7 linked regions of the Oryctolagus cuniculus genome follow. The protein of the gene in region 1 interacts with the protein of each later gene in a pairwise test. Links are inferred from orthologs where the notes say so. Each region holds a gene or a part of one and is shown in the gene's direction. Other genes may lie near its edges.

The links.
Region 2: the proteins of KASH5 (region 1) and NSG1 interact in binary tests that used the Homo sapiens proteins (3 or more experiments, as listed by UniProt). The two-hybrid records come from large-scale screens. The link is inferred for Oryctolagus cuniculus from reciprocal best matches to the Homo sapiens genes KASH5 and NSG1.
Region 3: the proteins of KASH5 (region 1) and UPK1B interact in binary tests that used the Homo sapiens proteins (3 or more experiments, as listed by UniProt). The two-hybrid records come from large-scale screens. The link is inferred for Oryctolagus cuniculus from reciprocal best matches to the Homo sapiens genes KASH5 and UPK1B.
Region 4: the proteins of KASH5 (region 1) and EMD interact in binary tests that used the Homo sapiens proteins (3 or more experiments, as listed by UniProt). The two-hybrid records come from large-scale screens. The link is inferred for Oryctolagus cuniculus from reciprocal best matches to the Homo sapiens genes KASH5 and EMD.
Region 5: the proteins of KASH5 (region 1) and SENP2 interact in binary tests that used the Homo sapiens proteins (3 or more experiments, as listed by UniProt). The two-hybrid records come from large-scale screens. The link is inferred for Oryctolagus cuniculus from reciprocal best matches to the Homo sapiens genes KASH5 and SENP2.
Region 6: the proteins of KASH5 (region 1) and STX5 interact in binary tests that used the Homo sapiens proteins (3 or more experiments, as listed by UniProt). The two-hybrid records come from large-scale screens. The link is inferred for Oryctolagus cuniculus from reciprocal best matches to the Homo sapiens genes KASH5 and STX5.
Region 7: the proteins of KASH5 (region 1) and BET1 interact in binary tests that used the Homo sapiens proteins (3 or more experiments, as listed by UniProt). The two-hybrid records come from large-scale screens. The link is inferred for Oryctolagus cuniculus from reciprocal best matches to the Homo sapiens genes KASH5 and BET1.

What each region holds. Positions count from the first base shown.
Region 1 is NC_091449.1:7,997,779-8,001,419, reverse strand, and holds part of KASH5 (protein KASH5), read left to right. Parts: intron 1-2,835; coding exon 2,836-2,913; intron 2,914-3,176; coding exon 3,177-3,233; intron 3,234-3,492; coding exon 3,493-3,552; intron 3,553-3,641. UniProt on the Homo sapiens protein: As a component of the LINC (LInker of Nucleoskeleton and Cytoskeleton) complex, involved in the connection between the nuclear lamina and the cytoskeleton.
Region 2 is NC_091433.1:4,764,530-4,768,967, reverse strand, and holds the start of NSG1 (neuronal vesicle trafficking-associated protein 1), read left to right. Parts: upstream 1-1,509; 5' UTR 1,510-1,642; intron 1,643-2,026; exon of another isoform or gene 2,027-2,158; intron 2,159-2,517; 5' UTR 2,518-2,543; coding exon 2,544-2,672; intron 2,673-4,438.
Region 3 is NC_091435.1:75,698,213-75,701,853, forward strand, and holds part of UPK1B (uroplakin-1b), read left to right. Parts: intron 1-1,925; coding exon of another isoform or gene 1,926-2,150; exon of another isoform or gene 2,151-2,279; coding exon 2,280-2,459; intron 2,460-3,641. UniProt on the Homo sapiens protein: Component of the asymmetric unit membrane (AUM); a highly specialized biomembrane elaborated by terminally differentiated urothelial cells.
Region 4 is NC_091453.1:132,603,988-132,608,337, forward strand, and holds EMD (emerin), read left to right. Parts: upstream 1-1,516; coding exon 1,517-1,598; intron 1,599-1,752; coding exon 1,753-1,860; intron 1,861-2,003; coding exon 2,004-2,081; intron 2,082-2,293; coding exon 2,294-2,427; intron 2,428-3,342; coding exon 3,343-3,389; intron 3,390-3,468; coding exon 3,469-3,790; downstream 3,791-4,350. UniProt on the Homo sapiens protein: Stabilizes and promotes the formation of a nuclear actin cortical network. Stimulates actin polymerization in vitro by binding and stabilizing the pointed end of growing filaments. Inhibits beta-catenin activity by preventing its accumulation in the nucleus.
Region 5 is NC_091435.1:95,245,999-95,250,226, forward strand, and holds the start of SENP2 (sentrin-specific protease 2), read left to right. Parts: upstream 1-1,308; 5' UTR 1,309-1,521; coding exon of another isoform or gene 1,522-1,622; intron 1,623-3,693; 5' UTR 3,694-3,828; coding exon 3,829-3,932; intron 3,933-4,228. UniProt on the Homo sapiens protein: Protease that catalyzes two essential functions in the SUMO pathway.
Region 6 is NC_091432.1:8,759,394-8,763,604, forward strand, and holds the start of STX5 (syntaxin-5), read left to right. Parts: upstream 1-1,318; 5' UTR 1,319-1,322; coding exon 1,323-1,550; intron 1,551-1,776; exon of another isoform or gene 1,777-2,060; intron 2,061-2,187; coding exon 2,188-2,427; intron 2,428-3,285; coding exon 3,286-3,356; intron 3,357-3,520; coding exon 3,521-3,576; intron 3,577-3,693; coding exon 3,694-3,764; intron 3,765-4,211. Other genes in the region: WDR74 (WD repeat-containing protein 74), read left to right, coding at 39-95, 373-552; TEX54 (testis-expressed protein 54), read left to right, coding at 744-816, 931-1,145. UniProt on the Homo sapiens protein: Mediates endoplasmic reticulum to Golgi transport.
Region 7 is NC_091447.1:41,915,517-41,919,827, forward strand, and holds the start of BET1 (BET1 homolog), read left to right. Parts: upstream 1-1,370; 5' UTR 1,371-1,579; coding exon 1,580-1,598; intron 1,599-4,311. UniProt on the Homo sapiens protein: Required for vesicular transport from the ER to the Golgi complex. Functions as a SNARE involved in the docking process of ER-derived vesicles with the cis-Golgi membrane.

The sequences.
Region 1 (3,641 bases):
GCCGTGTGAAGCCAGTCCCCTTCCCGGCCCTGTTCTCCCCCAGGGCTGCGTCTGGCATTGAGGAGGGTCTGAGGTTCTGAATGCAGGATCTGGAATCACGCGTGCTGGGGTCTGGATCCACGTGCTCACCGTGCAGCCTTGGCCACGTTTCTTAGCCTGTGCTCAGTGTCCTCTGTGCGGTTGAGGGTGGTGATTCTGTGAGTAGTTAGGACGGCGGGCACGGCGCCTCCGGGAAGTCTTCTCGCCAAAAAGTCAAACCGGGGTCTGGGCGAGCCCCTAGGTCGCTCAGTCGCAGGAAGTAATGACGAAGAAAAGTCACTGTGAGATGGAAAGAAATGGAACCCTTCAGCCGAAAGCAGTGGAGGGCCTTCTGCGGGTCCTCACTGAACAAACCAAACGTGCAGAGACATCTGTGAGATAGTCACACCAGAAAGCTCAAGGTACGGGATGAGGCGAAGACGTTGTCGATCCCCACGATGCTGATACTGGAAGTGGCTTTTACTCAAGGAAGCGAGTCCTCAAACAGATCAGTGCCGAGGGACTGCAGCGGAAGTGGGTGGCTGGGATGTGCTTCATAATAATCGAGTCGGGGCCTGCATTTAGCCTAGACCACGTCAGGGGCCGGCGTTGTGGCCTAGCGGGTAAAGCTGCCCCCTACGACGCCCGCATTCCATATAAGTACCGGTTCATGTCCCAGCTGCTCCACCTCTCATCCAGCTCCCTGCTATGACCTGGGAAACCAATAGAAGATGCCCAGGTGTTTGGGCCCTGCTTCCCATGTGAGAGACCCGGATGAAGCTCCTGGCTCCTGGCTTTGATTTGGCTCAGCCCTGGCTGTGGTGGCCATCTGGGGAAGTGAACCAGCAGATGGAAGAGCTCTTTCTTTCTCTGTCTCTTCTCTCTGTAACTCTGACTTTCAAATAAATAAACAGGTATTTTTAAACAGACACCAGTTCAGGTGCCCGCATCCCTGGGTTGGATGCCAGCTCTGGCTCCTGACTCCAGCTTCCTGCTCCTGCAGGCAGTGACAACGGTTCCAGTCACTGAGTTTCCAGCACCCACTGGAGACGTGCGTTGAGTTTCCTGCGCCCTGCCTCAGCCTGACCCGACCCAGCCTTTGTGGGCATTTGGGGAGTGAGCGAGCCGGCAGATGGGAGCGCTTTGGCTCTCTCTGTGTCTGTCTCTTTGCCTCTCAAATAAGTAAATAAAGTTTTAAATAAGCAGGGCAGGCCTTTGGTTTAATGGTTAAGGTGCCACTTGGGACGCTGCATCCCGTCTCAGAGCCCCTGGGTTCAGGTCTCCCCGACGGCTCCTACTTCCAGCCCCTGCTAGTGCGCACCCTGGGCCAGTGCGGGGATCCCGGCCGCCCCAGGCTGAGTTGCTGGCTCACTTCAGCCTGGCCTGCTGTAGCTGCTGCAGGCGTCTGCGGAGTGACTCAGCGGCTGGATCTTCGTCCCTGTGTCTCTGCCTCCAGATAAACAGGAGTAATATGAAATAAAATTCTCATGTAGATACTTGTGTACACATATGCATGAGGGGGTTCAAAAAGCTCATGGATGGCCGGCGCCGTGGCTCAATAGGCTAATCCTCCACCTTGCGGCGCCGGCACACCGGGTTCTAGTCCCGGTCGGGGCGCCGGATTCTGTCCCGGTTGCCCCTCTTCCAGGCCAGCTCTCTGCTGTGGCCCGGGAGTGCAGTGGAGGATGGCCCAAGTGCTTGGGCCCTGCACCCCATGGGAGACCAGGAAAAGCACCTGGCTCCTGGCTCCTGCCATCGGATCAGCACGGTGCGCCGGCTGCAGCGGCGGCCATTGGAGGGTGAACCAACGGCAAAGGAAGACCTTTCTCTCTCTGTCTCTCTCTCTCACTGTCCACTCTGCCTGTCAAAAAAAAAAAAAAAAAAAAAAGCTCATGGAAATGAGAATTATGAGGAATGCATAGATCTCAAACATTGTTCACACCAAACTAAACAACTTTATATAAAAACCTTGAGAGATCCTGTCTTCAGCCCACTCCCCTGGTGCTTGAAGTGGTCTTACCCAAGCCAAGGGCTAGGAACCCAACCCCGGGCTCCCAGGCGGGTGCCAGGAGCCCGGTTACTCGAGCTGTCCGTGCTGCCTCCCAGAGTCTGCACCGCAGGAAGCCTGAGGCAGGGAGCAAACCCAGGAAGCAAATGTCTTAACGGGTGGCATCTTAACCACTGGGCCAAGTGCCCGCCCCAAACTGGTACAAACTGGGAATTCCATCTTCCCGTGAACACGTCGGAGACCCCTCGTGCTTGTACACCATCTATCAAGCATTTGATGTTTGCCAGGAAAACACACTGGCTGTTTTACGCTCATCAACATGTAGGTACTGGAGCTACCACCAGTGTAACCGGGGCCAGCCTGCTGGACTTCTCTGCGCCCGAGTTATCTTTTAAAATGGGGGATAAAGAGGCCGGCGCTGTGGCATAGTAGGCTAAGCCTCCACCTGTGGTGCCAGCCTCCCACAGGGGCACCAATTCTAGTCCCGGCTGCTCTTCCAATCCAGCCCTCTGCTGTGGCCTGGAAAAGCAGTACAGGATGGCCCAAGTCCTTGGGCCCCTGCACCCGCGTGGGAGACCCGGAGGAAGCTCCTGGCTCCTGGCTTTAGGTCTGCCCGGCTCCAGCCGTTGCAGTCATTTGAGAAGTGAACCAGCAAATGGAAGATCTCTCTTTGTCTCAGTTTCTCCCTCTCTCTGTAACTCTGCCTTTTAAATAAATAAATAAATCTAAAAACAAACAAACAAACAGCCAGGGCCCCTCTAGGAAGGTTGCACTCGCGTTCGGCAGATGCCAGAGGCCCTTTCTTCCAGAACGGGAAGCTGCTGGCCGAGCGGGACGGAGTGAAGAGGAGGAGTGAGGAGCTGGCCACGGAGAAGGACGCTTTGAAGGTGCTGCCCCGCCCTGGCGCCTGGCACCTCCCCAGCATCCCCGGGCCGTTTGCACCACCTCGGGTTTCAGCCACCACGGCTGCCGAGAGCAAGGGTCTTCCATAGCGCTCCAGCCGGCAGGCCGGTGAGGCCGCCCACAGGGCTCGGTTGAGACCCCTGTGGTGGTGGCTGACGGCCAGGGATGCTGCGGGAGGGCGGGGCTGGGGAGGGCAGGGCTGAGGGGAGTCCCAGAGGCCAGACAGACACGGGCTCTTCCCTGGCAGCGGCAGCTCTACGAGTGTGAACGCCTCATTTGCCAACGAGACGCCGTCCTCTCCGAGGTGAGGGGCCGGGGAGGGGGATGGGTTGCCCGCCTTGGTCACCTGCCTGGTCCGTCGCAGTCGGGCGAGGGACGTCCTGCCTGGGTCTGACCCCGGCTCCCCCGGGGTCCCAGATGTGGCCCTGCAGGCTGAGGAATCCCTCTGCCTGTGCTGTCCTCAGGCCCTAGCCTGTCCCCTCAGTGCCCTGCCAGTGCCCAGCAGTAGCAGCTCCCCTGCCTCTGGGCAGTGGGCCCTGCTTACGGGCTTTGGGCTCCCGCAGCGCACGAGCCACGCGGAGAGCCTGGCCAAGACCTTGGAGGAGTACAGGACGACGACCCAGGTAACGGGCTGCCCTCGCTCTCTCCGTGCAGGGTCTGGACTCGCTGCCCCTCCTGGGGCCTCTCTGCCTCCAGGTCTTCTGCACCCGCC
Region 2 (4,438 bases), on another chromosome or scaffold:
GCGTAGCTTTACCCGCCTGCAGTGCCCGTATCCCATATGGATGCTGGCTGCTCCACTTCCTATCCAGCTCCTGCTGTGTCCTGGGAAAGCAGTGGAAGATGGCCCAAGTCCTGGGGCCCCTGTGCCCAGGTGAGAGACCTGGAGGAGGCTCCTGGCTCCTGGCTTCGGATTGGCGCAGCTCCGGCCATTGCAGCCAATTGGGGAGTGAACCAGCAGATGGAAGACCTCTCTCTGCCTCTGCCTCTCCTCTCTCTGTGTAACTCTTTCAAATAAATACATCTTTAAAAAAAATGGGGGTGTGGAACTGGGGGCCTCAGCCTCTGATAAAGCCCTGCACTCTAAGGTATTTTTTTTTTTTTTTCATCGCATCTGTATCCTCCCCTGACCCCTGCAAGACTCTGGGCTTTTTCCTTCTGAACTTGGCCCCACCCCAATAAGGCGTTCTTGACACCCACATGCACCCCCCTCCATCCTGTGTTTGGGGCAGGTGGGGGATGCTTTTCTCTGTCCTCTCCACCCTCCCTGACAAAGGAGAGCCCCAGGCTCACCAACATCCTTGCAGCCTCCTTCCTGCTGGTGGGGTACAGTAGAGGGGGAGCTGCCACACCCCCAGTGCACACACCACCAACACATATATTGGGTTCTGTGACATGCACAGGTCTGAAATGGGGACAGAGCCACTCCCCCGTTTAAGCCCATGTGGTTTCTCCTGTCGCAGGACTGGTGGCTGGAGTGACTTCCAAGTGGGAGATGGCTGTGACCTTGCCTAAGGCCGGTGGGAGGGGCCGGAGGCAGAGCCCGCATCCCTCCTGGGTGGACCCCAGGTACCACTTAGGGAGAGCATGGCCCGGCTCCCTCCCACCCCCACCCCCGCCTCCTCCGCGAAACCCCGCCAAGCCTCTGCTGGAGACTTGGGGAGGCTGAAGCAGAGCCCAGGAGCTCACCAGTAACGGGTCGGGGCCGGGGGAGGGGGATTCTGAAATCAGACCTCCCCGCACCCTCTACGGCAGGCAGGCTCCCTCACTGGGCCTGCGCTCCAGGCCGGCCGCGGCGGGTCCCGCTCCGCTCCCCACCCAACCCCGTTTCTTTCTTTATTCCCGGAGACTCCCGAACTGACGGGAAACCCCAGGCCTCCGATCCTCCACCGCTCGCAAGGGGTGTGAACGCCTTCCAGGTGCCCGGGAGGCCGCGATCCTCGCGCGCCCCCGGAGCTTGTCCTCGGGCGAGTGCCCCAAGTCCTCCTTCTGGAGGTCCGCAAAAGCGGGCCCCCTGATCCGGGCCACTGCGACGCGGTCCGGCTTGGCTGGTGGGGGGCGGGTCAGGCTAGAACCCCGCGTCCTCGTTGCGCGCCCGGGACCGTCCAAGCGGCCCCTCCTCCGCCGGGCGCGCGGGATCTCGCCTTCCGCTCCGGCCAGACTGCAGGAGCCCCTCGGTCTCACCGCGCCGCGCGCTCTCCGCCCCGGACACCTGCCCTCCGGCGCCCGCGTCCCCCGCTCTCGGAGGCGCAGCCCTGCATCCCGCACCCACGGGACCCTGCCGCCCGTCGCCTCTCCCACCCCGGCCCAGCACCAGGGGAGGCTCTGGACTCGGCCCCAGCCCGCCGCCTCTGGGGATCTCTCCAAACGCTTCCTAGGACGCCCAGGTCTGCGCGACTGCCCCACTCCCCACGTCCCCCCACCTTTGGGGGATCGCTCCAGCCCTAAACCCCCCTTCTCGTTTCGAATCGCCTTGCGCCCGCGCCGCCGCCACCGCCCCAGGCCTGCGCAGCCCGCACCCTCTCGCGCCCCGGGGCGCCTTTCCACCCTCAAGCCTCCCAGCGGGGCGCGCCCCACCCCCGCCCCCTTCTCGGCTGTCCCCGGGCTTGGGGCGGCCGCGGGGTCCCGGGGGAGGCTCCCCCGCCCGGCCGCGCGCTCCTTTGTGCTGCCGGGCGCGCTGCGTCAAGGCGGAGGCGCCGCCGCCGCCACCCGCGCACAATTAACCCCGGGAGCGGCAGGAAGGGAGGCGGCGGGCGCGGGGAGGAGGGGGCCGCAGTCGAGCCCAATCGCTGCTCCGCGCCAGCCCCGCGCGGCGCCGCCTCCGCCATTGCTGCGCGCAGGAGCGGCCGACGCGGAGGCTCGGAGCGCGCTCGCAGCCCAGACCTGCCGGAGCCGGGCGTGGGGTGAGTGCGGCCGAGGCCGGGCGCCGCCCGCCAGGGAGCGGGGCTCGGGGGCCGCTCAACGCCCCGAGTCGCGGGTGGGGAGACCGGGGCGGGCGGGGTGGCCAGGGCGCGGCGGGCCCCGGGCAAGGGGCGCGCCCAGACGGGCTGGACAGGGGCGGCGGCCCTTCGCCGGCCGCGGGGCGCCCCTGCGCGCGCAGCGAGGTGGCTCCGCAAATGCAGAGCGCGCCCCCACCCCCACTCCGCATCGGCGGTGACCGCCGCGTCCCCTCGACCCCTCCCCGGAGACGTCGGCCGGGCCGGCGGGCGGACCCTCCCCGCGTCCTGCTCGCGGTAACTCCCGCCCGGCCCTGCCTCCGCAGGCGGCAGCCTCGGGTCTCCCGGAACCATGGTGAAGTTGGGGAACAATTTCGCCGACAAGGGCAGCAAGCAGCCGCTGCCTGAGGATGGCTTCGACACCATTCCCCTGATGACGCCCCTGGACGTCAATCAGCTGCAGTTCCCGCCCCCGGATAAGGTAAGGGGCCTCGGGCACCCCCGCGCCGCGCGCGCCGGAGACGCGAAGCGGGGCGGGCGCGTGCGGCAGAGGCGGCCCCGGCGGGGACAGCGTGCCCGCCCGCGGTTCTGGAGCGGGGCGGTGGGTGGGAGGCCTCGCCTCGGGGTCAGCACCCTGATAAGTGACCTCGGTGGGCAGCACGTCCCTTCGTGGACAGATCCAGGGGCTAGCGGTCGCCCGATCCCGCGTGCCCGGGGACTCTGGTTCTGGGGTGAGCCCAGTGCGGGGGCGCCCGCCCCCTGCCCCCCTGGTGCTGCAGTGCCAATCCTGCCCTTTCTGCCCGCTGGCCTGGTGTGGGTGCTGGAGGGAGGTGTTCTCCAGGGACCCCCGGTGCACCCAATGGAGGGAGGGAAGTGGGGACCCCTTGATTCTTCCACCTGGGCCCGGGGTGGGCTTTGCTTTTTTTTTTTTTTTTTTCTGGACTCGTTTGCATGCGCTAGAACAGTGTTTTCACGACTTCGTGCTTAAACAGGTGACTCCCATCTGTAAACGTCTCGCAGATCTGAAATCAGACACCCAGCATCCGTTCCCAGCACCTTGCTGCTACTTTTTAAAAAGCCACAAGGGGGTGGGGGTACCCGGAGCTAGCTGAAGTGTTTTCGCCTTGGTGGTTTTAGGTAGTCGCCCTCGGGCTCTGACCCAAGGCTTGAGGACCTGCTGACAGCTGGGCGGGGGTGGGATGAGGTCTCGGTGGTGCCGCCTGTATCCCCACGTGCACCCTTCGAGGGGCTCACTCAGCTCCCCAAAGTGGGTGTGACTCTCTCCGCTCTGCTGTCTGTGGTTTGCGTGGGGGGGAGGGGGCGGCAGGAAAGGGGGACCAGCTGGTCACATCTGGGCACCCAGGTTGCCATGGGGACCCTTGGGGACGCTCCTGATCCCGGCTGGGCTTTGCTCCCACCCCCCGCTCCCCGTCAAGGTCAGGTGCGCCCAATTAGCAGAGCCTGGCCCAGACCCCTGCTCAGCCCGAGAGCAGAGACAGCTGTGCCCACTCCTCGTGCTGAGGCAGCCCCTCTATCAACTGCTTCTGTCTGCTGCGCCCGAGCCTGTCCCACGCAGGGAGGGGGGGTTCCGGCAGGTGTGAACCCCTTGCTAACCCGTGGGGCCGCCAGGTGGCTGGGGAAGGCACTGAGTCTCAGTCCCGGGCAGGGCTGCTCCAGAGGGGGGACTCCCAGGCAGGACCGAGGCAGCTGACGCCTGCCCAGGGTCACCGGTGAAGGGCAACCCCCCCCCCCCCCCGGCTCCTGCCTTTTTGCAGCCAGGCAGCTCTCCCATGAGACCTGGCTTCACCCGCGCTGCTCAGCGTCGGGGTTCAGGGAGGCGAGGCCCCCTCCCCCGGAGGCACAGCCGTCCCAGAGCCGCAGCGAGGGCAGGGCTGTCTCACCTCACACTGGCGCTTGTTCCACTTCACGGAAATAGCCACCACCATCCGGCCCATTTTCCAGATGTGGAAACAGAGGCAGAGAGAGTGCCCAGGTCACCTCACCTGTTAGTGCCGGAGGCAGGGTCCACAGAATACCCACCGAGCCCCCACCCTGGGCTGAGGGTCCCGTGGGTCTCCTCTGCCTTGCCGTAGCCCAGGGATGAGACTTGCTCCCATTTCACAATGGCTCCAGGTCAAGTGCGTGCTCAAGGCCACGGGGCTGCTCAGGTGCAGCTGAGGACAGGAGGGCGACGCCCAAGGGGTGCTGTCCCAAGAAGTGGGTGCCTCGCAGGGGTCACCCACTCCA
Region 3 (3,641 bases), on another chromosome or scaffold:
TCTGCTAATGCACACTCTGTGAAGGCAGCAGGTGATGGCTCAAGTATTTGGGTCCCTGACACCAACACAGGAAACCTGGATTGAGTTCCTGGCTCCTCTGGCATTGACGAGTGAACCAGTGGAGAAGAACAGTTCATCTCTTTCTCTCTCTCTCTCTCTCTCTCTCATGATTAATTTTTTTAAAAACCAGAATGATTATTTTTCCTGGCTGCATAGTTTCCATAATACAGTGGTGAAACTGGACATCCTTTCAGGATAATTGATTTATCATTATGTTTAATTATTACATTTATTCTAAGAGGTGCCTATGGTTTTAACTTCCTCTCTTGAAATATTTTCATAGAATTTACTTTCTAAAAGGTAGGGAAGTAATATTAATTGTTTTACCTTCTATCCGGATTCCTATTCACAGTGTAAGGATATCAGTCACATGTGATTAAACTTCCTTTCACATAAAGAGATTTGGCTGTGTGGCACCAGGTTTTGGTTAGCTTTTCTAGTTTCTTTGCCATTTTAGAAGTAAAACATAATCACTCTAACAAGAAAATTACTCATAATTTCTTTACCAGTAAATTTATAAATTTCCTGATTCTCAAATTACTCATGTGATATTAGAATAATTATACCTCTTTTGCATTGCTGCTTCAAGATATTTGTATTAATAATAATTGTTTATTAAAGGTTTACTGTGATCCAGGAACTTTACTAAACATATTATATGTTAACTCTCTTAATTATCACAATTCTATGGGGCAGACACTACAAGTATACTTATCCTAATTTTATAGTAAAGAAAATGAGGCTCGGGTAGTTTAAATAACATGTCACAGGTTACAGAGTTCATTAATGAGATGGTAAAAGCTATGAAAAATGTTCTATAAACTCTAAATTGATTTATTGAGCCCTGAAACTCTCATTTGTTAGAAGTAAAATATAGTATGATTTCCATTTCTTCTTGTTTTTTAAAAAATTTATTCAGAGGCCAGTGCTGTGGCATGGTGGGCTTAGGCTCCACCTGCAGCACCGGTATCCCATATGAGTGCTGATTCAATTCTAGGCAGCTCCTCTTCCACTCCAGCTCCCTGCTGTGACCTGGGACAGCAGTGGAAGATGGCCCAAGTACTTGGGCCCCTGCATACACCTGGGAGACCAAGAAGAAGCTCCTGGCTCCTGGCTTCAGATCAGTCCAGCTTCAGCTGTTGCAGCCATTTGGGGAGTGAACCAGAGGATAGAAGACCTTTCTCTCTGTCTCTCTCTATCTGTAACTTTCCTCTCAAGTAAATAAATAAATCTTTTATTAAAAAAAAAAATTATTCAGGGGCCAGCGCTGTGTCATAGCGAGTGAAGCTGCTGCCTGCAGGGCTGGCATCCCATTGTTCAAATCCTGACAGCTCCACTTCCAAATTAGCTCTCTGCTATTGCCTGGGAGGACAGTGGGAGATGGCGCAAGTCCTTGGTCCCCTGCACCTGCGTGGGAGACGGGATAGAAGCTCCTGGCTCCTGGCTTTGGATCGGCACAGCTCTGGCCACTGCAGCCATCTGGGGAGTGAACCAGTGGATAGAAGACCTCTCTCTCTCTCTCTGCCTCTGCCTCTCTGTAACTCTGCCTTTAAAATAAATAAATGTTTTTAGAAATTATGCATTTATTTGAGAGGCAGAATGAGATATCTTATATCCTTGGTTCACACCCATATGACAACAGCTAGGGCTGGGTGAGGTAAAAGCCAGAAGACCAGAACTCCATCCAGGTCTCCCACATGTGTGACAGGGGCCCAAGCACTTGGGTCATTTTCTACCACTTTTCAGGGAGCATTAGCAGGAGCTGGATAGATGCAGAGCAGCCAGCAATGCAAGGAGCAGTTTAACACTGGCCCCTCTATTTCTTTTTTCTTTCTTTTTAAAAACTTTTTTATTTTATTTGAAAGCCAGAGTTACAGAGAGAAGCAGAGACAGAGAGAAAGGTCTTCCATCTGCTGGTTCACTTCCCAGATGGCCGCAATGGCTGGAGCTACGCCGATCTGAAACCAGCAACCAGGAGCTTCCTCCGGGTCTCCCATGCAAGTGCAGGGGCCCAAGCACTTGGGCCATCTTCTACTGCTTTCCCAGGCCACAGCAGAGAGCTGGATCAGAAGAGGAGCAGCCAGGACTAGAACTGGCGCCCATATGGGATGCACCACAGCGCCCGGCCCCTTCTTCTTTCTGTTTAAAAGTTCACTTGCTACATCGATGGCTTGAGCGAGGCTCATGAAAGGGAATGTGTGTCTCTCATCCACTGACAGGACAATTGCTGTGGCGTCAATGGCCCATCAGACTGGCAGAAATACACGTCTGCCTTCCGAGCTGAGAATAATGATGCCGACTATCCCTGGCCTCGCCAGTGCTGTGTCATGACCAATCTTAAAGAACCCCTCAACCTGGAGGCTTGCAAACTAGGAGTGCCTGGTTATTACCACAATCAGGTGAGTCCTCTCTCCTGCCGAGACCTGCCGGAACATTCTCCCGCTCTTTATGAGAAAGCATGGTCAGCTGTAGATAACGCTCTCTCAGAACAGAATGCTACATCCTTTCCCCCAACCTCATGTTAACCATTTCCCCCTTCTCTGTAGATAAACTGTGAATGCCCTTTGAGAGCTGCTATGAGGAAGTTTGCATTTTAATAAAACAGAACAGGAGATTTGCAATAGCAGAACCCAACTTTGTTTTAATGAAGTGATTTTACAGTGTGTAGAATTGGTATAGAATTGTATTGAAATGGTTTCCTTAAACGGAGATCTGCTCTGCTTTCGCATCGTATAAATAGGAAGGGATGATATGCACACAGAATGCTTTGCCAGCTCCAAAGTAGGGGCAATTTCTGAGGGCCAGCGAGGTCACTGCACATTCACATTCCTTTTCCAGCGGAGTGTGACTGTGTTTTTAACAGAGTATTTTGCTGGAGATTTAGGAAGTTCACATATGGTTTGTTTTTTGAGGAAGTTGTTTTCAGGCAGAGGAGGCTGATAAAATGTTCACGAAGCATTCACTGAGTCCTTACTAAAGGCCAGACACTGTTCTAAGTGCAGATGCTAATTCCACGGATGCTGAAAAGATGGCGCCAGTGTGTCCCCTATTTGACTGAAACACAGAAATGCTCATCCGAGCACAGCCTACGTGCCAATGAGGCTTGGTAAGACTTCTCAAAGGCTCTCATGGGGACTCCCATATTCCTGGAGTCAGCATCCACTGACATTGCACTGTCATGCTCTATACTGCCTTGGGAGCTGCCCCCTTGTGGAGGGTTCTTTAAATAGTTAGAAAATGTCAGGCTCTTTAGTTTGGGAGTAAATATGACAAACTGCATGTCCAGCACGCAGGACACCACACTGCTGATCCTGGTGCCAGATCTGGCAGGGTACCCAGACTAAGACTGCACATAAATGATCCAGAAAATGAGAAGGAAGCAAGGTAGATTATTTTGCAGTAAGTGTCAAAGCAATCCTCATTCAGCCTTATGGCCACATTGTTCTGGGCATTTAAAAAAAAATCAGTTATAATCAGACTTCTATACAAATTAAATGTATTATTTATAATCATAGTATGCAATAGAACTATTACTCTCAGTATTAATAAAATGCTTTCAATATTCCAACATGGGAACTGGC
Region 4 (4,350 bases), on another chromosome or scaffold:
TAGCTGCAAATAGTTCAAACTGTCATCTCTCCTGCCTTTTCCTGCCATGCACACTGTCTTTGGGAATGCACACAACTTCTCCCACATTGCTAGGAACAGACTGGGCCAGGTCTTTATTCTAGAATCTGGCAAACGGAAACCCCTCTTCCTTAGGGTTTTTGTCTACGGTCAAAGGGCCTCGTCTCTTCCACATTCTTCCCTGGTCTGTCTGTCCCCATTCTGTGTGAGCAATCTTCCTCAGAGAACTGGCCTGTGACCATCACCAGTTTGGGCCCTTCAGCCTGGAGCTGATCAGAGCCCTCGCACTTTCTTGTCACCAGCTAACATCTGTGAGGCCAGGACGGCACCTCATCTCTTCATGCACCCACTTCTGTCACTTCCTTTCGACTCCCCAAGGGGACAGCCCTCTTCTGATTAAGACCCTTGCCAACCCAGCCACAGTACAGGAACCTGAGCAAGCCTTGGCAGTCTCTCACGGCTCACCAGGCTCCTCTGCCCCTGCCCGGCCCCCTCCTGGTCACTGGGCTCAGGGCCATTCCGACTGGAGCCCCCTTCCCTTCCACCCAGTACCCCGGGTTGACAGTAGGGTGGGCTGGGAGGGCACACTCCCTCTCCGAAGCGCGCTCTGCCCGTGCCCGCTGGAACGGCCCGCCGGGCCCCTTCGAAGGCTGTTTGCTCCAGGAGTGCCCGCGTCCTCCTGGCCCAGTGCCCCATTTCCTCCCGGGTGGAGGGCGGGAGGAGCAAGGGAAGGAGGGAGGGAGGCGATGGGAACCGATGGGCGCAGGTGCGCAGGCGAGGGCCGGTGCAGGTCAGCGAGGCCGGCCTGGGCCAGGGGGTCCGCGTAGCGCACCCAAAGCGTAGACAGCAGTGGCTGGCCCGAGAGCGGCGCTGTGCAAAGGGTGGCTCCTTCCCGCTGCTGCGGGAGAACCCTCGGCCTGGGATCCCGGGAAAAGGGGGACGACGAGTGCAGGCGCAGGGATGTGGCAAGAGTCAACCGGCCCGAACCACCGCAAAGACACCCACGCCGCCGGCTCCCTAGCTCCCACGTTCTGGCCGGTTTCTACCGGTTCGGGTCGCATAGGCTCCGCCCCTCCCGCGAGTCTAGCTCAGAAGCGCCTGCGTGTGACGTCTTGGCGTGCCCGTCCAGCCCCTTTTCTCGAGCGTGCAGCCCCGCCCACTCCCACGGCCTGAGTAGTCTGAGCCACTTTGGCTCCCACACAGGCCCCGCCCCTCTTCCGCCACAAACCAATCTCGCACGTTTTTGAAATACGAGCTCGCCAGGCCCGCCCCGCCCGCTCCCACAGCTAGACCGGTCCGTGCCGGCTCCTCCTTGTGGTTTGGCTCCGCCCCGCGCAGCGCGCGCAGCCTGCGGAGCCCGCGGCCATGACGGGAGCGTGACGCAGACGTGACGCAAGCGCGGCCGCTCCCGAGCCCTGCGAGGCAGTGGTGTTGCTTGGCCTGTGTCGCCAGGCCCGGGCTGCCCCCAGCCCTTCGCCACCTGCCGGCCGCGCCCGCGATGGACGACTACGCGGTCCTGTCGGACACCGAGCTGGCCGCCGTGCTGCGCCAGTACAACATTCCGCACGGGCCAGTCGTGGGTACGCGGGAGCGGGCGGGACGCCTCCCGGGACTCGCTCTCCCGCGCGCCGTCTCGCAGCCCCCCGGTACCCCCCGCCTGCGTCCCCTACCCAGATTCCCTCCCTGGGCTCGCAGCCCACGACCCTGACCGCCCCGCGCCCGCTGTCTGGTCAGGCTCCACTCGCAAGCTCTACGAAAAGAAAATCTTCGAGTACGAGACCCAGAGGCGGAGGCTCTCCCCACCCAACTCGTCTGCTTCCTCGTTCTCCTATCGGTTCTCGGGTGAGCAGCTGGCTGCCGGTGGTGACAGGGAGGGTGGGATTTCGAGGGTGTGGCGTGGGGGGTGGGTTGCTAGCCGAGAGAGGCACTGCGAAGAAGGGAGGGAAGCCTGGGGGAAAATGGTCTCGTCCCCCCCCTCAATTCAGACTTGGATTCGGCATCTGTGGACTCGGATAAGTACGACCTGCCCAAGAAAGAGGACGCCTTACTTTACCAGAGCAAGGGTAAGGCAAGGAATTGACACCCTTAACACCATCACCCCAACACCTTCACCCACCCTGTCCCGGACCGTGGGCGTAGGGAAAACCTGAGGCCTCGACTCCCCACCAGCCTCAGCGACCTGAGAGGGGCCCCAAAAACGCTGTTTAAATAAGGGTCCCTGGAGCAGCTGGGGAACACGGGTCTGCCCTCTGCTACCAGTGCTCCCTTTTTCAAGGCTATAATGATGACTACTACGAGGAGAGTTACTTGAGCACCAGGACTTACGGGGAGCCCGAGTCTGTGGGCACATCCAAAGGCTTCCGGCAACCCGGGACTTCGCTTTCTGATGCTGACACCTCCCACCACCAGGTGAGCTGCCGTCGGGCACCTCATATCCGGGGGCAGCTTGAAGGGATGACAGCTGGGTTTGGGTAAATCCCAGCATCACTGGGTACAAATGCTAGCTCCTAGGTTTCCAGAGAGAGTTAGGATGAGTTAGGACTTTGCTACGGGGCGTGTCAAGAGTATTTGACTAGAGCACACAGGATGTGGCCTGCACCCTGGTCAGGATCTGAAGTTCCAACTCAGAATCCAGGGGGAGAAAAGAGGGTTCTGGGGTCAGTGCTGTGGCACAGCAGGTTAAGCTACCGCCTGCAGTGCCAGCATCCCATGTGCATCCAGGTTGGAGTCCTGGCTGCTCCACTTCTGATCCAGCTCCCTGCTACTGTGCCTGGGAAAGCAGTGGGGGATGGTGTGAGTACTTGGGCTCCTGCCACTCCCATGGGAGACCTGGATGGAATTCCAGGCTCCTGGCTTCAGCCTGGCTCAGCCCTGGCCATTGTGGCCATTTGGGGAGTTAACCAACAGGTGGAAGATCTCTCCCTCTCTAACTCTGCCTTTCAAATAAATAAGTAGAATCTTAAAAAAAAAAATGTTTATTTTCATCTGCTTGAAACCAGAGCAACAGGAAGACAAAAAGAGAAAGTGAGGTCTTCCATCCCCTGGTTAATGTCCTAAATGCCCAGGATGGGGGCCATGGCAAAGCCAGGAGCCCAGAACTCCATCTAGGTTTTCCACAGGGGTAGCAGGGGACCAGAAGCAAACCAGCCAAAACTTGAACTGGCACTCCGTATGGGATATGGGCACCCTAACTGGCAACCAAACCTGCCACGCCACAATGCCTGCCCTGTCTGGCCTTTAAGCAATGGTTAGAGTGGGCTGAGTAATACGACAGGCTGTGCTGACCCTGCTGGCCAGTCCCGTCACCTCGATTCTGGTCTGCAGGTGCGCAGTGACCATCTTTTCTCTTCTGAAGAGGAGGACAAGGACAGGTGAGTAGTGGGAAGGCCCTGGGAGCAGTGATTCTGGGCCTAGCTCTCCTGGCTCACCTGCTCCCCTCTTTTGCATTAGGGAACGCTCCACATATGGCCGTGACAGTGCCTACCAGAGCATCGCACACTACCGCCCTGTTTCCAACGTCTCCAGGAGTTCCTTGGGCCTGTCCTATTACCCTGCATCCTCCTCTTCTGTGGCCTCTTCGCCTTCTCCATCATGGCTCGCCCGCCGTGCCATCCGACCAGAAAAGCAGGCCCCTGCAGCTGGTCTGGGTCAGGACCGCCAGGTCCCACTCTGGGGCCAGCTGCTGCTTTTCCTGGTCTTTGCTGCCTTCCTGCTCTTTGTTTACTATTCCTTGCAGGCAGAGGAAGGCAACCCCTTCTGGATGGATCCCTGAGGGTCTTGATTTCAGAGCCAGCTCTTTGAAGTCCTGGCTGTCTGCCTTAGTGCAGTGTGTGCTGGGGGTGGGGGTGGGGGCTTTTCTGTGTGTTCTAGCTTTGGGGGCTGGGCCTAGCCCTGAGCAGTGCTTGCTCCCCCTGCCTGCTCCCACCAGGGAGGCAGCAGACTCGGGCCCTTCACGTTCTGGTAGGCCTGGGCGTGCCTTCCTCTGGAGCCTCCTGGCCCTGCTTGCCTCTGACCCTTAGGGCCTGGGAGGGCAAGACTTCACTCCTTCAGAGATGTTGTCATGTGCTCATGCATGCCTCCTGTTCGTTGTCACCTTTTTGAGGTTAACCAAGGGCCACCTCGACTTTGTTTTCGTGGACGCAATAAAGACCGTTTATTTTTAATGTGTTGGCTCTTCCTGCTGGGGGAGAGGCTGGCTGCCATGCTTTGGGGTCTCTGGGTCTTAAGGTTTTTTAAGGATTGTCACCTGGCTTTATTGATTCTGTGGTTTTGCTTTGGTCTTGGCATAGGAATCAAATGCTACCGCTGACTAGGTTCATGTGTTGTTTGGGG
Region 5 (4,228 bases), on another chromosome or scaffold:
TGGCAGGAGATAGGGAGGTTGGGGAATGTGAGGGCGGGCAGCACGTTGGTGTGCGTTGCCCCACTCATTTCTGGAGATATCGTTTGCTAAGGACTTGTGATAATGGCTGAAGTCTGTAATATTGAAGCTTTCTCACGTTTCATGGCTCTTACGAACTTTTAGTATTGAATTTGTGCCTGTACAATGAATGAGGCAGGAAAAAAAAAGCAAACAGTTTGGTTTGCACTGTGGTCTAGGAGACTTGATCTCAATTATTTCTCAAGTCTTGGTGACCAGATCAGAATAGGTTGCTATTCCAAAGAAACGAGCAGTTTTCTGATTAATTTGGAAGGGAAACTGCTCTTTTGTTTGGAGAATCCCTTAGTGAGTTTCTTGCAAGTTCAGGAAAGTCTGGGACTCCAGCCTGAACTGAATTGCAGGTAAAAAAACAAGTGGGGTTCTGGGATTTGTGTAGCATGAGAGCTCCCAGGATTGTTTCAGGGAGGTAACCGGATTTTTTTTTTTCTTTTTTATCACTAATCAGGATGAGACTTGTTCTACAGTTGATAATTAACCAGAGTTGCGACCTCTAGATTTTAGAAGGAAGTAATGAGACTCACTGTGCCAGGCCAGGGGAGCAAACAAGTGTATTGCAGGCCACAGGTGTCTTCATCCTCACCTCTGCGAAGCCTTCTTTAGGAGTCTGCTCTTTACCCTGCCTCAGCGCATAGTTTTCCTTTTTCTGGGTCCCCTGCACTTTGCACTATCCTTTATCACAGCAACCAGTCATTCCGTATTGTAATCTAGTTTCTCCCGGTAGAGGGAGGGATCTCAAGGCCGAGGGACTGACGCTGGTATTTATACCTTGGTTCAAACTTCAGCTATACCGCTAGTCAGTTTTGTGATTTCCATTTCCTTTATTTGAAAAACGGGCGAAAAGACGCCCTATTGCCTAGGGTCGCTGAGAAACCTGAAGGAGGTATAACACATTCAAAAGTAGGGGGAATATGTCAGATAAAGGGCGACTGAGCCGGTAGTCTTTTGTTAATTAGCCTGACCTACCTTTATCCTGTATACTCAAAAACTTATTGAGCACTAACAGCGCTCTAGGACCTCGGATGGCTCCGGGGTATGGCTCTCACGTGTGGCTTGTGGGCCTTGTCTCACGGGCCGAATCGGGACTGGTTCCGTACAGAGGAAGCCCCGCCCCCGCCCCCGCTCCCTCGTCAGTGATTGGCCCGGAGATCGTTCTGCCGTTTCTGGTTGCCAGGATCGCTGGTAGGGGGCGGTACTAGGTTGCGCTTGCGCATATCGAGGAGGAAGCTTTCCGGTCGGGCGGGAGGAGGTGACGTCAGGCGCTGTGGCGGGCGGGCGCCTCCCCTAGCTGTGTGGACGTTTTATCTGTGGGCCTTGTTGTCACGTCACAAGTCAGCGACTAGGTCTTGGCGGTGGTGGCCGAGTCGGGGAAGGCGGCAGCGGCGGCGACAGCTCTGGGGTTTGCGTCTCGGGGTGTGTCGGCCGCCGCTGCTGCTCAGGCCTGGTATGTACAGATGGCTGGTTAGGATTCTCGGCACCATTTTCCGTTTCTGCGACCGGTCAGCGCCCCCCTCCCGGGCCCTTCTGAAGAGGCGGCGCTCGAACAGGTGAGCAGAGTGGGCTGAGCGCTGGCTTGGCCGTGCCCCTCCCCCACATCAGGCTCCTCGGCGGGCACTGCGCTGACCCAGCCGGGCGGGCCCTGCTCTGCTTAAGTGGGTCGGAGAAGTGCGGGGCGCGGGTATCCTGATGACGTAGTCGCGCCCATCAGGCTGGTGTGTGGAGGCGCAGCTCGTGATGAACGAAGGGGCTGTTTGTTTTTGGAGTTGGAGGGTGATGGTGGGCTCTTTAATATTCTTGTCAGAGTCCAAGCTGGTGGCTGGCAACACATGGGATTTGGCACGTTTTGCTGCTCTTAGGCTGAAAAATAAAAATTGAAGGAGTGCTGTCTGTGCTGCGGCTCTGTCTACGAAGCACACTCCCAGCTGTCAGTTAAGGGAAGTGAGATTCATAGCTTACCCAAAGCCCTTTTGACTGCGAGTACTGTTCTTTTAGCACCACAAACAGCAGCTGTCTTGTTCTGAAACAGCTGTCAAACAGTGTGTGTGCGGGGCCCCCTGGGGTGAGGGGGGGGGTTGCTTCTGTGCTTTAGAATTAGTATATTAGAAAAAAAAAATTAGGTGCCAGCTCCTTGTTAAAGTTCACTGGTCCATTCCTAAAATTTGGGAGAAACTAAAAACTCTTCCGACTTAGTATCTCCTTGGCTTGTCTCATAGGGTCCCACCTTCCATAAGAATCTAGAAAATAAAGTACCACACAAATTCTGTACACCGCCCACCTTTTCAGCTCTCAAGTGTAAATTTGAGTTTTTTTTTTTTTTTTTTTTTTTTTATTAAGCTGGTCAAGGTCAAGGAAAAGTAGGGAAAAGATTGGTTTCTGGGAGCTTGAGAGAACAAGATGGTTAATACATGAGTCTGAGAATGTAGTCATCAATAAGTTTGATCGCATATACTCCAGAGAGACGTGGTTTCAATTTACTCCTCTTTTTGAGCTTTCTGTAGGGTTAATGTGAGGATAATTTGAGAACATGTTGTAAAGTGCCTAAATTGATGCTTAATATGTATAGAAGTAGTTTATTCTACCCTAAGGGCTTTGTTCAGAATCAGGTGCAGGATAAACATTTGGTGCATACTTAATGTTAATTTACTCACGCTTGTTCTTTCTTTTTGATGTGAATTTCTGCTGATGACTGGGAGTTCTTTACTGCTCTTTAGGGATTCACATCCTTTATCTAAAACTGCTCTTCTCAACATAAGCCAATTTTCAGTCAGGTCTTGAGATGTTTAATGGCAGAATGTTATTTTCCTTGGATCTCATTCTGTTAAATTTTTTAAAGATTTATTTATTTTTGGAGAGGCAGAGCTACAGAGAGAGGGAAAGACAGAGAGAGGTCTTCCATCCTCTGGTTCACTTCCCAAATGGTCGCAATGGCTGGAGCTATGCTGATCCAAAGCCAGGAGCCAGGAGCTCCTTCTGGGTCTCCGATGCGAGTGCAGGGGCTCAAGCACTTGGGCCATCTTCCACTGCTTTCCTGGGTCATAGCAGAGAGCTGGATCGGAAGAGGAGCAGGCTATGTGGGATACTTGGCACTGCAGACGGAGGCTTAGCCCAGTATGTCATAGTACCAACCCCATCTATTAGTTTATAAAAATATGATTAATCATAAGGATTCAGAAAGATGATTACTAGTATACCAAGATACTAATATTCTTGACTTGTTGGTTTAGAAACCTTCCTGATTCCAAAGTCTTTATTGTGATGTAGTTTCCCATGATAGAAATGTAGTTAAATGTAGTTAAATGTATTATCTTTTGCTAGCTAAGAACAGTCTTAAGACTGCATATGTGTCACTTGAAGTAAAACAGAACTTTCTTTGGGGTTGTCTTTCAAAGGGAACTTATTTACTTGTTTTTAAATTATTTCTGTACAGGAAAAGAGAATAATAGGCCTAGGCCTTCCAGGTTCATCTACTAGCTAAGTGACTTCTGCCCACTTTCAAGTTTGTACTTTAGCCTACAGATTATTACATGGTAGAGAATTGGGTTCTTTCTCAGATAGTTGAAACCATAATTCTTCAAATGCTGAAGAACTATAGAATAGCATTCTCTTTTTATTTTAAAGGTTTGTTTTTGTATCTGAAAAGCAGAGTTACCCAGAGGGAGAAGGAAATGGAGAGGAAGATGGAGAGAGAGAGAGAGAGAGAAAGAAAGAGAGCGATAGCGATAGCTATCTTCCATCCACTGGTTTACTCCCCAAATGGCCTCAAACCCTGCTGAAGCCAGGAGCCTGGAACTCCATCTGGGTCTCCCATGTGGGTCGCGGGGCCCAAGCAGTTGGGTCATCTTCCACTTCTTTCCCAGGTGCGTTATCAGGGACCTGAATCAAAAGTAGAATAGCGGGGACTGAAACTAGTGCACATATGGGATGCTGGCTTAACCCACAGTGCCACAACACTGGCTCTACCACATTCTCCACATTTTTTAAAGAAGTATTTTATTTGAAAGCGTTACAGAGAGAGGTAGAGCCAGAGAGAGAGGTCTCCCATTCCACTGGTTCACTCCTCAAATGACCACAATGACCAGAGCTGACCCGATCCAAAGCCAGGAGCCAGGAGCCTCTTCTGGGTCTCCCACATGGGTGCAGGGGCCCAAGGACT
Region 6 (4,211 bases), on another chromosome or scaffold:
TCAGGCCAGGGCTCCTCAAGGCCTTTCCTCCTTTGCAGGTTTATCTCAAGTCTCGACTGAACTGCCTGCTCCTGTCAGGCAGGGATAACTGGGAGGTAAGTAACTGGGTCTGGGAACACGGCAGCCGAGGACAGAGAGAGGCAGCTGGAACACACAGGGGGCTGCCCAGTTACTACATTTTCCTGGGGTGTGAACAGCTGAAGTTCTGACAGGGTGACTGCCAAGCGTGGCATCTCCAGGAGCTTGGACAGCAGTGGTTGCTGGGAAAATGACAAAGGTGCTGATGCTCAGGGGAATTGCCTCCCAGGCAGGGCTTCCTTCCCGGGGTCTGTCACTGTGCCTCTGACCCTGCACTTCGTTCCCACTCTCCAGGATGAACCCCAAGAGCCTCAAGAGCCCGGTGAGCTGCCCTCAGAAGACAGGGAGACGGATGAACTTTGGGCATCTTTGGAGGCAGCTGCCAAGCGCAAACTCCCTGATTCGGAGCCGGCGCAAGGGGCTCTCCAAAGCAGACGGAGAAAAAAGAAGCGCGCTGGCTCCACCAGCCCTTGAAGACCCTGTGCCCGTTTTGTAAATAAACAGCTCAATACCCGCATGACCCTGAGCCTTTTGTGATGGGAGGAGAGGGGTGGCTTGTGGGGGCTCCCTGCGCTGGGGCAGTGGGATATCTGACGTCACAAAAGCCGGGCCTGGAGCCAGGCAGGCTGGCGTGGGTGGTACGGAGTCAGGGGCCGTGCGGGGCCATGGGCTGCTGCCAAGACAAGGACTTTCCGACCACCGATGAGCAGGCCAAAGAGTTCGAGGGAGCTGGGGAAGGTAGGACCAGGGGCGGTGAGGGCCCGGAGGCTGGGGAAGGCGCTGCCCCGGGGGAGAGCCCCGGAGGTCCGGCCGGGGAGGGTAGAGGTGATTTCAGCGGCCTCGTCCCTGCAGGCGCCCACGGAATCGATTTGGACTCCCCTGGCCACCGGAATCGCAAGTCGAACGAAAGCCTTCTGATCACCGTGCTGTGGCGGCGGCTATCCCTGTTCAGCCGCCGGGGCTCCTCGCGGTCCGGCAAGAGGCAGTCAGAGCAGATCCAGAAGAGGGAGAGTCCCATCCCGGAAGACAAACCTGAGGAAAGCCAGGAAGAGCCGGAGAAGGGGTGACCCCAGCCCTGCTGTCAGTCCGCCGCAGCCCTCAGAGAATAAAATTTCTAACGTGGACCCGCCAGATGACTCGTACCCTCTGCAGCCCGCTCCGTGGGCTGTGGGCTCAGGGGCCCCGGAGGCGGCGGGCTCTTTAAGGCTCCGTCCCGGGGCGGGGCTACGGCGGCGGCCCGGCCAATGGGAGGGGGGAGCCACGCTTGCGTCTGGGCGGGGGGCGTGCCTCCCAGGTCGCCGGGCTCGAAAAGGCGTGGCGCTGCCTTCCCGTCACGGGGGTGGGGTTACGTGTGGGTGACGTGGCGGACCCTAGGTTTCGGTCGGATTTCGGCGGCTTCAGAGCCCGGGGAGGAGGCGGTGACGGTCCGGGAGGCTGTGGCAGTAGCTGCGGCGGCAGGCGGCAGACAGGAGGTAGGATTCGTCCTGAGGGCGTCTGGCCGCCGTGTAGCTCCTGGGCAGCGACTTCACCGGGGTAGCGACGGGCGGGGGAAGGGAGCCGGGAACGAGCGGGCAAGTCCTGCCGGCCCGGCTCCGGGTGAGCGAATACCACGACGTCCAATCAGGAAAGCCTCTGTTGAGAAAGACGTCGGCGTTAGCTAATGAGTGGCGCAGTCCTTCAGGAGGCGGGACTTTGGCAGGGGTGGGACTTCCTGTTTCAAATAAACACCTAGAGGTTCCCTCTCCGCCCACCGAAGTGTGTCCCCCCGCAGGAGGTCCGTCACCGTTTCTTCCCGAAGGGTCAGAGGCAACCACGGCTATGCGGGGGCCCAGTTAGGGGCTGGGGCAGTTGCACAGGCCGGGCTGGAGCCTCAGGGCCTCGGGACCTGGCTCTGGCTCCGCCTCGGGGCCCCCTACCCGCGCTCTGGCCGCCGGAGCCGAGTTGGAAGAGTCTGAGGAGGGTTCGACCCGGGCCCGGAGGAGGTGGGGCCCTTCCCGCTGCGCGCCGGCCCCGGGGTCTGCGGGTGGCCCAGGATTTGCTGGTTGGAGGGGCGTTTGTGGGGAAGGCGTTTGCACTGCTTGGGGAATGACTCTCTCCCCTCCACGACAGAGGTTATGCGTCTCAATGATCCCGCGGAAACGCTACGGGTCTAAGAACACGGATCAGGGCGTCTACCTGGGTCTCTCGAAGACACAGGTCCTGTCCCCTGCAACTGCTGGCAGTAGCAGCAGCGACATCGCCCCTCTGCCCCCCCCAGTGGCCCCGGCCCCCTCCCCTCCCGACACCATGTCCTGCCGGGATCGGACCCAGGAGTTCCTGTCCGCCTGCAAGTCGCTGCAGAGTCGTCAGGTAAGGCCCAGAGTGGGAGCCTCGCCCACATCCGGGCAGGTCTGCTCCCCACCATCAGGGACACGTGGGCTTGGGAAGAAGTTCCCCGGAGGGTCAGATTGATGGAATGCCTAAAGGGCTGCAGGGTTTTTGGATAAGGAATAAACCTAGAAAGAGCCACCCGCTGTGGGGCACGCACCTTGAATTGTGCTTGCAGTGTGGTCCTGCCGTGAGTTTGCTCTGCGACTCTGGGGAAATTAAAATTTTCAGTCTGTAAAACAGAGAGAGACGGTGGGGGAGCAGAAGGAAGTTTTCCGGATGGGCCGTTTTTATCCAAGTCATTTTGGAGTGTTTGTTTAAGAATTAGAGTCCCTAGTTTAAGTCCCCAGATTTTGACACTAAGTGGGACCTGAGTAAGTATTTTAAAATATTTTTATTGTTCAGCTCTTGTTGACGAACTTCTCTTCTCTATGGTCTCCAAGAGCTTTCGGGTTCTCCTCTTTGATGCCGATGTGAGGGATCTTTCTTTAGTGCCGCAGGTGGTTGGTTAAAATCCTTTACAGCCTTTATGTTATCTAGTTTTGGCAGCAACTATCAGAGGTGAGTGGATTGTCTTCATCTTCAGGGAGAGGAAACAGATGTAGAAGAGTTTAACTTGCGCTAATTCTGCTAATTAGTGGTAGAGTCCAGACTTGAGCTTAAGCCTGCCCGTCTTCAGATCTGGCTTCTGAACACTATTGCTGATAAATCTAGGCCAGCAGAACTGGAGAGAGCTTGGGGGGAGCACGAGAGAGAGCTTGGGGGGAGCCCGAGAAACGTTGAAAGCTGGAAGTGGGGAGGAGGAAAGTGAAGTTTTCACCTCCGGACATTGCTTTTCAGAATGGAATCCAGACAAATAAGCCGGCCCTGCGTGCTGTCCGACAGCGCAGTGAATTCACCCTCATGGCCAAGTGAGTTGAGAGCAGCTTTGTGGCAGGGTGATACAGTGTCTGGAAGGAAGCTTGCTTTTGGTGACTTGGCTGTAAGGGCTGGGATTGGCTGTGCTAAGAGCTAGTGTGAGAATAAGCCCTCTCCCTCCCCCTTCCATGGTGTTCTCACTGTTGGTCATTTGCAGGCGCATCGGGAAAGACCTCAGCAACACATTTGCCAAGCTGGAGAAGCTGACAATCCGTAAGTATTCATGGGATCTTTTACTGGTTGTGGGATGAACCAAAGAGGGCAGAGGAGCCAGCCCCCTGAGCCTTGCCTTTGTTCTCACCCACCGTGGCTTCTTGTTTATCTCTGTAGTGGCAAAGCGCAAGTCCCTCTTTGATGATAAAGCAGTGGAAATTGAGGAGCTAACATACATCATCAAACAGGTGAGCTGCTAGGTAACTATCTGGAGAACCCAGCATTCTGTTCATCACTGCCATCGTTTTCCACTTGCCAGAGCAAGCTTCTAGAGCCAGCCCTAAACACCCTTCTCCAGTAAGTCAGTGGACACATCTGTTGACACAAACAGGAAGCGAGTCTTGCATTCTCAACAACAAGAGGAGAAGTATTCCAGCTGCATAAACCCATACTTAAAATGAGTAGGAGGCAAGTGGTACTGAAAAAAGCTTACGAAAGGCTGGCGCCATGGCTCACTAGGCTAATCCTCCGCCTTGCGGCGCCGGCACACCGGGTTCTAGTCCCAGTCGGGGTGCCGGATTCTGTCCCGGTTGCCCCTCTTCCAGGCCAGCTCTCTGCTGTGGCCAGGGAGTGCAGTGGAGGATGGCCCAAGTACTTGGGCCCTGCACCCCATGGGAGACCAGGATAAGTGCCTG
Region 7 (4,311 bases), on another chromosome or scaffold:
CAGCCATTCTTGCTCATTGCCCAAAAGATAGATAAACATTGGCATGTATTCCTTACCCTTGAATCTCAATTGGATCTCACATCCTATTGCCTTCATACCCCACTCCCACAGCCACCTGAAAGACCAGTTGCTGGAACACTTGAAAGACCAGTTCCGGGAATTCCCCTCCACCTGCTGCTCCCTAATCCCACCCCCGCCTCTAGCCCTCCTAAAATATAAACAGGCCAGGACCCCCAGGACGGGGGGTCAGGGCCTCCTGCCACGTGTTCCATCAATGTGCAGGAGGGCAGTTGGTCATTCACCTCTTCTAATTTATTTTCTCTGAATAAATTCAGTCTGGCTGTAAATTCATTCACTGCCTCCTCTCTATTCTGCACCTCTTTTCCTAACATTTATGGTGCCCCGTGTGAGGAGGCACCAATCTGCAACTCTTTTCCTAACAATTATAAAAACTTATTTTTGTGTTTTAAGAAAGCAACTTTAAGGCAGAAACTGAAGTCACAGCTACATCACTGTCACAATGGGAAACCGAGGAAACAGGACATGATGAAGATTCAGAGACCTCTAGCCGGGAGACCATTACCTTGTCACACATCAGCAACATCAGAACGCAAACACCAGCGGACTCCGAGCATTTCCTGCGTCCCAGATGTCTTCAAAAACCATTGCTGCAGAGTCTCCTCAGGGTACCTCATCCTGTGAGATAACACGAAATTCTCACTTGACCCAGGCAGCAGCACCAACACACTCCTCACCACACCCTACCCCAAGCACTGAAAAACCCCAGTCGGCACATTGCTATATGTAAGGCAGTATTCAGCACCACGTGTCTAAGGGATTCAGGCGTGCTCCCTAACCCCAACGATGCTTCTAGAAGGGAGCCGAGGGAGCAGCAGGGAGCCGGCTCGCTGGGGGCTCCGAGAGACCCCTGCTGCCTTAGCCCAGCACGAGTCTCCCCCCCTGAGTGTGACCAAGCACAAATCAGTTAGCCTCTGCTGCCCCGCCAGTGGGTCTCGGACTACTTGTTTGCAAGACGAGAAACTTGGACGAAGTTCTCTCAGACTTCCCTGAACTAACTCTGCAGGTAACAGTGAGTACCAGTATGAATCAGGAAAGGTAAGTCAACCACCTCTCGTGGGCCGGGAGAAGCTGAGCTATTGTGTTAAATGTAGGGACCTGTAGGCAGCTAATCCCACGGCCCTAGCATACGGGGTCACGGTACCGAACAGCGAGTTTCAGGGTCCGGAACAGGAAGCCAAAGCGGATGTCGCCCCTCTTCCGGAAGTCCCGCCCACTCCAGGAAGCGAGTCCCCATCGCTCCTCCAGCCATGCCCTTTACGACAACAGCGAACTACTTTTCCCAGAATGCCATTCAACTCTCCTCGCGGAGCACCAATGGGCGCCCGGGTTGACGCCATCAGTCGGCGCGGTGTACCAGGCTTCAGTGATGTCGTGGCGCTTGGGGTGAAGAAGTTGGTGCTTCGCGGCGCCCTGGGACTGAAGACGCGGTCCGGGTGACCTCTGGCCCTTTCCTAACTTCTCTACCCCCGCCTGCCTTTTTCCTCCCTCTTCTGGCGGGATGAGGCGTGCAGGCCTGGGTAAGAAGAGGTCCGAGGTGCGAAGTGGGGAGCCCCAGAGCCGGCCTTGGTCGGCGCGGGAGAAAATCGCCCTGGTGTCCTGTCACTCGGCATCTGGTCCAGAAACGGCGTGTGTGGAGGGGAGCCATGCAGGCGGTGCCTAGTGGAAGCACGTCATTTGTCCTAGATCTTACGGGGGTATCCTTAGGTTTGGTCTCCGGACCCGAGTCTTGGAGAGTAGCATAGGACTGGGGTGCGGTATATGCAGGTGCCAGCTCAGTCGTCGGACTGTGTGCTGTGTGGTGGCCTGGCCTCTCTGCTGTTTCTGCTTTCCTGCTGCCTCTGCCTCTTAGAAGGGAGATACGAAGAGTGGGGTTGCATGCTAAGCGCTTCCACAGTGATTATGTGAGTCGGCTAGCAGTGAGTGACAAAGGTACATGTACACGTCGTTACCTTACAGGCCTTGGGGTGTAAGGTCGGGGTCAAAGGCAGTGTGCCTGGAGCATTTCTTATCTGAACCTCTTCCACTGGTTAGCAGCTGTCGGGACTACCTCTTATGGTTCTGAAGCTCTGTACTAGGAGATGGTTAAACACGAGGAGGAGGAGGAGAAAGACGAGAAAGAACCCTGCTCTATCAGTGCAGCGTGATTGAGAATATATGTGAGCATTGGCGAAAGATGACTGTCTCTGCCAGCCGTGGTAATAACTTGGCAAAAACGAAAACAGGGCTTACGAAAAGTGTCAACTTTAAGGTCAATGAAAGTTGTCAGTGTGTCAGTGTTCTTTCTTAGTGCAGTTTTTGTGAATCTGGTTGGAGAAAGCCAGGTAAATTGAAGACAGAAAAGAATGTTGATCAAGTTTAGTTTTCACCAGCCTATGTGTTTTCTCAGTGTCTTTAGGTTGTATACCTGAATGAGCTCTAGCTATATAGTTGTTTTGTTACTTTCTTGGTGCTCCCCACAGCTGGGAAGTAGGAAAATGTGCAAAGGTAAATTATGGTACAAGGTGGCAGCTATACATCCAAACACAAGATAATGTTCTGCAGATAATGTCTCAGAAATTGCAGAGATGGTGACCTTGAAGTAGACCATGAATAATGAAGTTAGGAAAGATGAGTTTCAGGTGAGAGGATCACTAAAAAAGAAAAGAAAAAACAAAGAGCATAGAACTAGGATTATGTAGCTAAGGAATTATGACTCAACCAATTTGATTGAACCAAGAAACATGAGACCACATTGTGGAGATTGCATTATAGGCCAAGGAGTTTAGATTTCCTAAATTGCCCTTGAGGCCCACTTATTTTTTGCACTGCACTCTCCCTGGTTAAGTTGCAGGAAGGGGACTTGAGAAGTAATTGTTCTCAGTCCTGATAGCACATCGATTAAGGAACTGTTGCTATAATTTACATTGTTATGAAGTGACGGTTTTTTTTAAAAAAACTTGAAGTGCCAGTGTGAAATGACCTGCAATTTTAGATTTGGAATAATAATGAATTTGATAGATATTCATGTGAAGAATATTTGTGTTGGTGGATGATGTTTTTTGCTTTTTTTTTTTTTTTTCAAATATTTATTTATTTGACAGGCAGGGTGACAGATCTTTTGTTTGCTAGTTTACTCCCCAGATGGCCTCAACAGCTAAAACTGGGCTAAACTAAAGCCAGGAGTCAGGAACTCCATCTGGGTCTCCTACATGGATGGCAGTTTGGCTCCTCCCCCACTGCCTTTCCAGCCACATTAGTAGGGAGCTGCTTTGGGAGCAGAGTAGCCAGGACTTGAACAGGCATCTGATAAGGGATGCCCAGCATGGCAAGCAGTGGCCTAATTTGCTACACCATGAGTCCATCCCTGGGGGAGGGTGATAGCTGAGAGAAGATAAAACTCTAATAGAAATATGCACTGAAAGATTTCCAGACAAGAAATAAAATGAGAATTTCATTTTAAATAGATGGAACAGGGACAGGTATTTGACCTAAGTAGTTAAGCCACTGGTTGGGGCAACTTTGTTGAAATGCTTGGTTTCTTGTCCCGGCTCTGCCGCCAGTTCCAGCTTCCTGCCAGCGCAAACCCTGGGAAGGTAGCAGGTGACTGCTTGAGTAGTTGGGTCCCTGGCATCCTTGGGGGAGCCCTGGATCTAGTCTCCAGTTCTTGACTTCCGCCTGGCTCAGCCCTGCTGTTCATTTGGGGGCACAGACTGGCCTAAGGGAGCTCTCTGTCTCTTTGCTTCTCAAAATTTTTTTAATGAATAAATGAAGCAATATAAAAGAAATCTAAAACTAAAATTAATGTATGTGAAAAGACCCAAACAAAGGACATATAGTAAGTAGCTATTCATTTAGAACTTGAAGAAGTTCTAGAATTTCTTGAAGTTACAAAGTGATTGAATCCAACCAGTCAGTAATTACTTATTGGGCAATGTTATATACTTTGGCTCTTAAACATATAAAATAAGTAGAAGATGTTTCCATTTCCTTAAGGATGTTGATCATTATTATAGATTGCACAGACTATTCATTAATAAAGTTGCATTTTTCAAGACAATGATTTTAGTTGTTGAGTGGGGGGAAAATGAGCCCAGTCTTTAAATTCATAACACATTAGCTTTATGGACAGTGTGTCAGCTGTTGGGGGAGAATTTGAGAATTTGGGTAGTGTAACTCTCTTGTTTGGATTGTACTTATTTAACATTTTGTTGGGGTGAAGACTGTGGGTGTTTGCCACCTGTAAAGCGCTCA